Linked DNA regions of Bombyx mori. The protein of the gene in region 1 purifies or fractionates together with the protein of each later gene. This does not show direct contact. Links are inferred from orthologs where the notes say so. Each region holds a gene or a part of one and is shown on either strand. Other genes may lie near its edges. The genes, in order: Ef-1g and valine--tRNA ligase.

Region 1 (3,931 bases):
CTGTAACAGTTACAGTACCTTCTTGTTCTGTGCACCAGCTAACTCCTGGTACTTTTTAGGGTCGTATGTAGGAGGAGCCGCACAGAGCGTGAGCGAGCCGACGACGGCCGACACTTGCGGCTGGTGGGCGACGGTCAGGAACCAACGCTGAACGTTTATCAGCGACGAACGGACGCTCGGGTCTAGCACGTGCTGAAGTAAAATAGCTTTTATGGCATTCTATTCAAACCCAATCGATTGTGACTTGCTTTCTTGAAAAACTGGTGGGAGGACCATGTGAGTCCGCGCGGGTAGGTAACACCACCGCGCCTATTTCTGCCGTGAAGCAGTAATGTGTTTTGGGTTGAAGGGTGGGGCAGCCGTTGTGTAGCTATACTTGAGACCTTAGAACTTATATCTCAAGGTGGGTGTCGCATTTACGTTGTCTATACGCTCAAGTAACCACTTAACACCAGGTGGGCTGTGAGCTCGTCCACCCATCTAAGCAATAAAAAAAAAATTCATTATTATTATTAAGGTACTATTTAATTTTCGATAACAATTTGCTTTTTTTAGTCTTATGCTTTTTTATTGTTCTCCTATTTGCTTTACAAACACTTTTATGTATTTAGTAATGTATTGTTTAATGATTCTCTGAAGTATCACTTTATTAACTGTGCTTACTCCAAGTGGTGAAGAAAATCAATTCAAATCTTAAAAGAAAGTTTTCAGTAGTTCATAGGATAACTTCCTTATCCTCACCTGGAAAGCATGCAGCAGTGTACTGAAGACAATGACATCGGCAAGTGTGATTCTCTCGGTAACAAGGAAGGTGCGTGTGAGAAGATGTCCGTCCAGTACTTTTAAGGCGGCCAGTAGGTCAGACTTTGCACGTTCAACATTCTGGAATTATTTAATCCTTATATCAGTTGCCAGTAGTTTGTGGCTTATAATTGTAATATTGAGTAGCTTATTAAGCACCATGACAATATAATAAATTAGAGAAAACGTACAAGATCCTATGTTTAATATTACTAAATTTTTATTGATGGTAGGAAGTCTTGTGAGTCTGCACGAGTAGGTACCACCACCCTGCCTATTTCTGCCCTGAAGCAGTAATGAGTTTCGGTTTGAAAGGCAGGGCAACCGTTGTACAGTTAAGAGTGAGACCTTACAACTCATGTCTCAAGGTGGGTGGCAGCATTTACGTTGTAGATATCTATGGGGTCCGATAACCACTTAACATCAGGTAGGGCCGTGAGCCATATATCTAAGCAAAAAAAAAGTTTAATTCTGAATAATGATAATATTCATATATTTTTATGTAATCACTTATATCAGTAGACTAACACATATATATTTTAATATCACAAATTCTTCAATTACCTGTTTGTTGAATTGCATGATACCAAGGTAAGGGAAGACCCAAGCGCAGGAAGCAGGCAGTAGTTCGCTGTCAGACCATGATGCCCACTGCCAGACACGGGCTTGGGTAGCCAGATCTCCTCCGCGGAGACTTTCATTGGCAACTGTAAAGTTCCTTTTTTAATTCAAGTTAAATGTTGTATTTTTCTTTTAACTTCTGATACTACTTGAAGTGAAAGGGTGTATGATTGGGATTATAAAATATTATGCAATAATTAAATATTATTAGTGATTTGTGAGTGTCCTCTATAATTATATTTAACGGAAATTATGAGTATTGTTTCATCAAGGAAAAGTCATGATTCGTCGATTTTATGAGTTTTTAAATCAGATTAAGTAGAAAAACGCTTTCATACTTGTACCATCGACGAATTATATAGTTAAATTTATTTGAAATAACTTCGCAAGAGGTATTTACAACCTTATCTTTTTTTAACTTTGGTTTATTAGGTATTCTTCTAGTTAGTTAGGTTAGATTTATTTAAGTTAGTTTTGTAGGTGTATTTGAAAATAAAAAAACTCACCGTAGTAAGCGATGGCATTGCTTTCAGTTAGAAGCACCTTTCCATCGGCACTTTCGAATGCAGGCACCTAAAATATACACCGATATTACACGTCACAACACTCAACATATGCCGAAATATTACTATGCACAATACGCCGGTTTAAACTCACTTTTCCGGCAGGAAACTTCTTCAAGAAGTCTTCGGACTTGTTGGTCTCGCCAAATACGAAATTCGGTGCTACTTTCACATCAGTCCCGGAATATTGTGCGGCGATCAACGCTTTATAAGCGCGGAAGTTTTCCGGATAAGTGTAAAGTACCTGAAAAAATAAATGCGTAATATTATTAATACTTTCATTATCATTGGGTTTTATTAATAAGTTTTCTATCAATGACTGGATTAACAAGATATTTCAAGGTAAATTACACCTACCCCGGCCGCCATGGTTGGAGTTTTCGGAAAGAGAAGGGGGGCCGAGGAAATATTGGCGAGGGAGGATTTTGCCCTTTGACATTGACATTCTGTGACAGCTGAAATAGAAATTAAGTGAAAATTGCATACACACGGTTATCTGTTAATCAATTTTTTAGTTTATTAAAAAAATCCCTTTTTCTTTCTTTAATTAGATTAGAATTAGACTAATATTGGAAATGCCTTGCAACCAAAAGCCTATTTCCAAGTGACTGTACATACTGTAGTTTAGGTCCTTATTTTCGGGCTAATGAAACTACCAATACCACGGGACGTTATATTATTAATTCTCTCTCACGGTCCGTACAGCTAGTCTATACATCACTCGATCAGAAACACCGTATGTTAAAGAATATAGTCTTGTGTAGCTCTTTATCATTGTAACAAAACGCTGAATGAGAATGTCTGTGTCTGGCTGTCTTTGTATCTTTCAAAAGTCTTCAAGCTGACGTGAAGGATTGAAACACATTTATTATGGCCATGTCTTGGGCACAAATTAATATTTGACAACAATTTAATATCGTCTGACCTGCGAAGTTTATTTGTGTGATGCTAGCAGCACGTCTTATGTCATCCATGCTGATCAGTGGCTCATTTTGTGGGTTAGCTTCTTCCTAAGCGAGCAATTAAATGAATGATTTTATAGAACAAAGTCAACTTCTGCAATTAGTTTTTGCTAGGAGAATTGAATGATTTATGTTGCTGTGTTCTTCTTTTAAGTGGACTAAAGTAGTTTATCGAATAAAGTATTAGCTAACTTTTCTGTTAAACCTCGTAATATGGCCACATCACAATTTAAATGATTAAAAACGCTATTTGTCTAATACTATCATGGACGAGCTTATACACTTTAAGTATTAGTAACTTTATTGGAACTGAATATTTCATGATTTTTTTGAAACATTAACCGTGTATTAACTTTTACATTTCACTGCTACTGATTCTTTTAATGCAATCGTAGTTGTTTTACCACTATTACTAATGTTTTTTGCAGAACAGAAGAAAATAGTTGAAGCTCAAGAGTCTAGCCTAATCTAGCTTTTGAATTTGGAACTAATACAGATTTGTGTAGATAGTTCTGCTCTAAATTTAGTTTTAACTTATTTCTTATAGGTAGCTGATACAATTGTACAAAACAATATATCTCAAGGTAGGTGGCGCTACTCACGTTCTCCTGACTATTATTAACGAATTTACAATAGACTAAATATATATCGAGACCCATAAAATTAAAACATACGGAAATGAATTTATATATTAGTATTACTTCTAATGAACTTTTTGGATTGATTATTGAACCTATGAAATATTGACCTAATTCATTTTAATGGTCCTCCCTTGAGCAGCTTCATACAATTCATGGCAACAATACAATCCGTGCGTAATTTAGATCGATGGTCATCGATGGTAGGTAACTGTGAATCTGCTGTGGTATTTTTGTTGCTTCTGATTTAATTTTATCGGAATCAGTTTGTGATTACAAACAGTCAGACGCACATTTATCTCTGATTGAGTGTGGTGTAGTAAAACTTTAGAATGGTAAGTGGCAA
Region 2 (3,831 bases), on another chromosome or scaffold:
AAGAGTTCGATGTGTAACCTAGCCCATACATCAGCCCACTGAGTTTCTTGGCAGATCTTCTCAGCGTGTCGCGATTCCGATTTAGTAGTATATTCATTCGCGAAGCAGCTGCTCTTGAGTTGTTAGACGCTCGGGCAGCTGTTAGCATATCCCACCCCTCCTGGCTGAGCCTTGCTCGCTCACCTGTCCTGGTGAAACTGGAAAGACCTCCGGGCCACCAGTAATTCTTGAATCCTAAAAAAAATATGTACATGTCTAAATCGGCCCGCGAGCCTCACCCGGGACTCACCAGGTAGACATCGCACAGGTCGTAGAGCCACAGGTTGTAGCAGTGCGTGGTCGCCGCTGGGAACTCGTAGGCCGCGAAGCCGCCGTTCACTCTCTGGACCGCGAGCGCGAGCTTGGACAGCATCCAACGGTCCATGCGCGACAAGTCCGCGGGTAGATTAGGGCCGTGCACCTGTTGGTTAATTTAACTGTTAAATAAATATCGAACAGTCTTTTTTTTATTGCTTAGATGGGTGGACGAACTCCCGGCCCGCCTGGTGTTTAGTGGTTACTGGAGCCCATAGACATCTACAACGTAAATTCGGTAATTTAGCGGTAGGCAGCGGCTTAGCTCCGCCCCTGGCATTGCTGAAGTCCATGAGCGACAGTAACCACTCACCATCAGGTGGGCCGCATGCTCGTCTACCTACACGTTTACTACCTACCTACGTTTACTGGTGGTAGGACCTCTTGAGAGTCCGCGCGGGTGGGTACCACCACCCCGCCTATTTCTGCCGTGAAGCAGTAATGCATTTCGGTTTGAAGGGTGGGGCAGCCGTTGTAACTGTAACTATACTTGAGACCTTAGAACTTATATCTCAAGGTGGGTGGCGCATTTACGTTGTGGATGTCTATGGGCTCCAGTAACCACTTAACACCAGGTGGGCTGTGAGCTCGTCCACTCATCTAAGCAATAAATAAAAAAACCTACAAGGGCCATAAAAAATTTTTAGAACCCATCTTGAGATATAAGTTCAAGTATAAGTTACATATAGTCAGTTTTATGGCACCTGCAAATTTTGTACCTACAAGGTTGTAAATTTTGAGGAGTGCGGTATCAGCGCCGCGCCCGCGGGTTTGGTTGATCCGAACATCAGCTGTTTTTGATTTTGTGTTTCATTGCTGGTTTTTTTATTAGTAAAGCAATTTATTTTTAAAAATGTATTTTTTTCTAAATCAGTATCGATTTCCTTCCCATCATCAAAGGTGTCATTAGTACTATCGTCTGTCTGCGTTTTCGGAAGCAGTCTCCTAATAATAACCAAGTATAATCAATATTTAGTATATTATCTTTATTCTTTTAACATTTCATTCCCGTGACATCATTTAAAAGTGAAAAAATCTTTTACTTTTATTGGGGGAATTCCCGAAAAATATGTTGTTCTTGAAAATATAGTTTCCTGCGGCGGTTTTTGTAGTAAATTTAATAAGTCCGGAAAGGTATGTATTTTGGACAGTCCTGACTAATAATATTAAAATCAATATTTGTATTTAAAAAGAACAGTGTTGGAATTGTAAGATCATACTCACTTCGTAAGTGGAGTCCTTCGGGAAATACATGAGGGCGAATTTGGTCGCGTTCCAGAGTTTGTTGCAGAAGAACCGGTAGCCCTGCACGCGCTGGATGTCCAGGTTGAGGTCGCGGCCCTGGGTCATCGCGCACAGAGCGAACCTGCCAAGGGATTCTCGTCTTAAGTACCCTCAACGTTTGATTGTATTTCGTATAACTATTAGCTATTTCGATAAAGCGGCACGACACGAGAACCCTCTCATCGTGGCCGCCGGAAATTACATACCCGATCCTGTGAACCGAATGGTAAACAGTCGACGTCGTCCTAAACACGTCATTACGGATCCTCCCGATCAATTAACGGTGCTTGTAGGTACCTCAAACACCGGTCACCGTCCTCGTCCAACCCGTTGCATGCGACGAAGGGCTCGATGAGTGAATTAACCCATAGACACAGTCCACTGAGAGTTTCTCGCCGGATCTTCTCAGTGGGTCGCGTTTCCGATCCGGTGGTAGATTCTGCGAAGCACGGCTCTTGCTAGGGCCAGTGTTAGCAACACTCCCGGTTTGAGTTCCGTGAGCTCACCTACATATCAAGGAGAAGCTGAAATAGCCTCTCAAGGCTGTCAGCGGGGAAAAAAAGAAAGGAACAAATTGATGGTACCTGAGCGCATCGGTGCCACACTCCGGGATGCCGTTGGGGTAGTCCTGCTGCTGTCCTTGCTTCGCCTTCTCCACTTCCCGCGGGTCCAAGTTAGAGTCTTCCAATTGCCGGTGCAACTCCTCGAGGGTGACTCCTCGCACCACGTCCACCGGGTCGATGACGTTTCCCAGGGACTTGGACATCTTCCGGCCGTGAGCGTCGCGGACCATCGGGTGGAGGTATACCTCTCTGGTGGTTCGAAGATTATGTGGTGGATACATGGTTTAAAGGTAGCATTAAAGGTAGAAACATGATGATTCACATGATTTAAAAAAATACATTAGCTTTTTTTTGCCCTTATAGGCAGACGAGAATATGGCCCACCTGGTGGTGAGTGGTTACCGTCGCCATGGACTTCAGCAATGCCAGGGGCAGAGCCAAGCCGCTGCCTACCATTAAGTACTCTTCACAAGCCTCGTTTGAAGAAGGACACGTCATAGCGCTGGAAACACCGTGAAGGGGAGATCATTCCAAAGCCGGACGGTACGTGGCAAAAAAGATCTCTGGAAACGCACTGTGGATAAACGCAGTGGCACCAGGTAGTATGGATTAACTCTACTCCGGTAGCGGGCGGTGCGATGGTAAAAACGAAATGATGGAATCATCTCAAACAATTCCTCAGCTGACTACTCAACTGATACTTGTCTTCAACTCTTAAAGCTATTTTTTCAGTTTTGCTCACTTGAAAGGCAGCTTCCCCATGAGACGTTGTCCGAAGAACACCATCCTGGCCACCCAGAAGAACAAGATGTCGTGGCCGGTTTCCAACAGGGTCCCAGGATAGAATGCCTGCGGGAGACAGTGACCCTGAGATCGAGCTGATCAAAATAACACGAATGGTCTATAAAGCATGACTCTGTATACTATTTTCGTGAATGCGAATCGAATGTGAATTTATTTATGTATTTCCAAAACTCCTGGTTGTTTGTTTGGAGGCGTTTGGTTTGGGGGCGTTGGGCCCCGCGTGTCAGCTGTTTTGCATCATCATAACTTAACTGCCGATCGCAGCTTCAGCTTTGAGGAGTACGGAGCACCTCAGGGCTTGACATTGTCAAATATTCGTGTGAGAGCAGCGAGGACAAGGCTGGCCGGAGATTCGTGAGCTTCTCCACCATTGTGTCCAGTGTGTAAGAGTAACGTCATCTATCGCCGAATAGCCGAAACGAATATCAAAGGGTCTAGTAACATCTAGAACGCTCAAGAAGTACAACGCCATCTATTTTCAGGTAGCGGAAACACACATCGCAAATACTCGACTTGTGAGGAATGTTCTCGACAATTTTATGGATATCGTATCGACTATAAAAGCGTTGCAGAGATTGCACGCAGTTAGTTAGTAATCCGATCTACTCGAAGCGAAACAGTGAACGGATCACCTGAAGCGAAGCGGAAGAAGTGAATTGAGAATTTTAAAGTGTTCTGTAAGTGGTGTAAGTGTTAAATACAGTTTTAAGTTATACTTTGGTGGAACTTTTATTTATCTCGAACCCCAGCGCGTAACAATACCAATGACAAAATAGAGGTCCATACAATGATTTCAATTATCGACATCCTCAGCATGGCAGACGTG

What was found.
Region 2: the proteins of Ef-1g (region 1) and valine--tRNA ligase purify together in Homo sapiens (affinity purification with mass spectrometry; 6 studies listed by BioGRID and IntAct, counting the BioPlex papers as one, with this or other methods). This does not show direct contact. The link is inferred for Bombyx mori from reciprocal best matches to the Homo sapiens genes EEF1G and VARS1.

Annotation. Positions count from the first base shown.
Region 1 is NC_085124.1:12,666,735-12,670,665, forward strand, and holds the start of Ef-1g (elongation factor 1 gamma), read right to left. Parts: upstream 2,355-3,931; coding exon 2,343-2,354; intron 2,230-2,342; coding exon 2,080-2,229; intron 1,996-2,079; coding exon 1,929-1,995; intron 1,509-1,928; coding exon 1,366-1,508; intron 883-1,365; coding exon 742-882; intron 193-741; coding exon 19-192; intron 1-18. Other genes in the region: Cnb (calcineurin B), read left to right, coding at 3,918-3,920. UniProt on the Homo sapiens protein: Probably plays a role in anchoring the complex to other cellular components.
Region 2 is NC_085114.1:14,506,775-14,510,605, forward strand, and holds part of valine--tRNA ligase, read right to left. Parts: intron 3,051-3,831; coding exon 2,944-3,050; intron 2,451-2,943; coding exon 2,223-2,450; intron 1,721-2,222; coding exon 1,579-1,720; intron 461-1,578; coding exon 290-460; intron 1-289. UniProt on the Homo sapiens protein: Catalyzes the attachment of valine to tRNA(Val).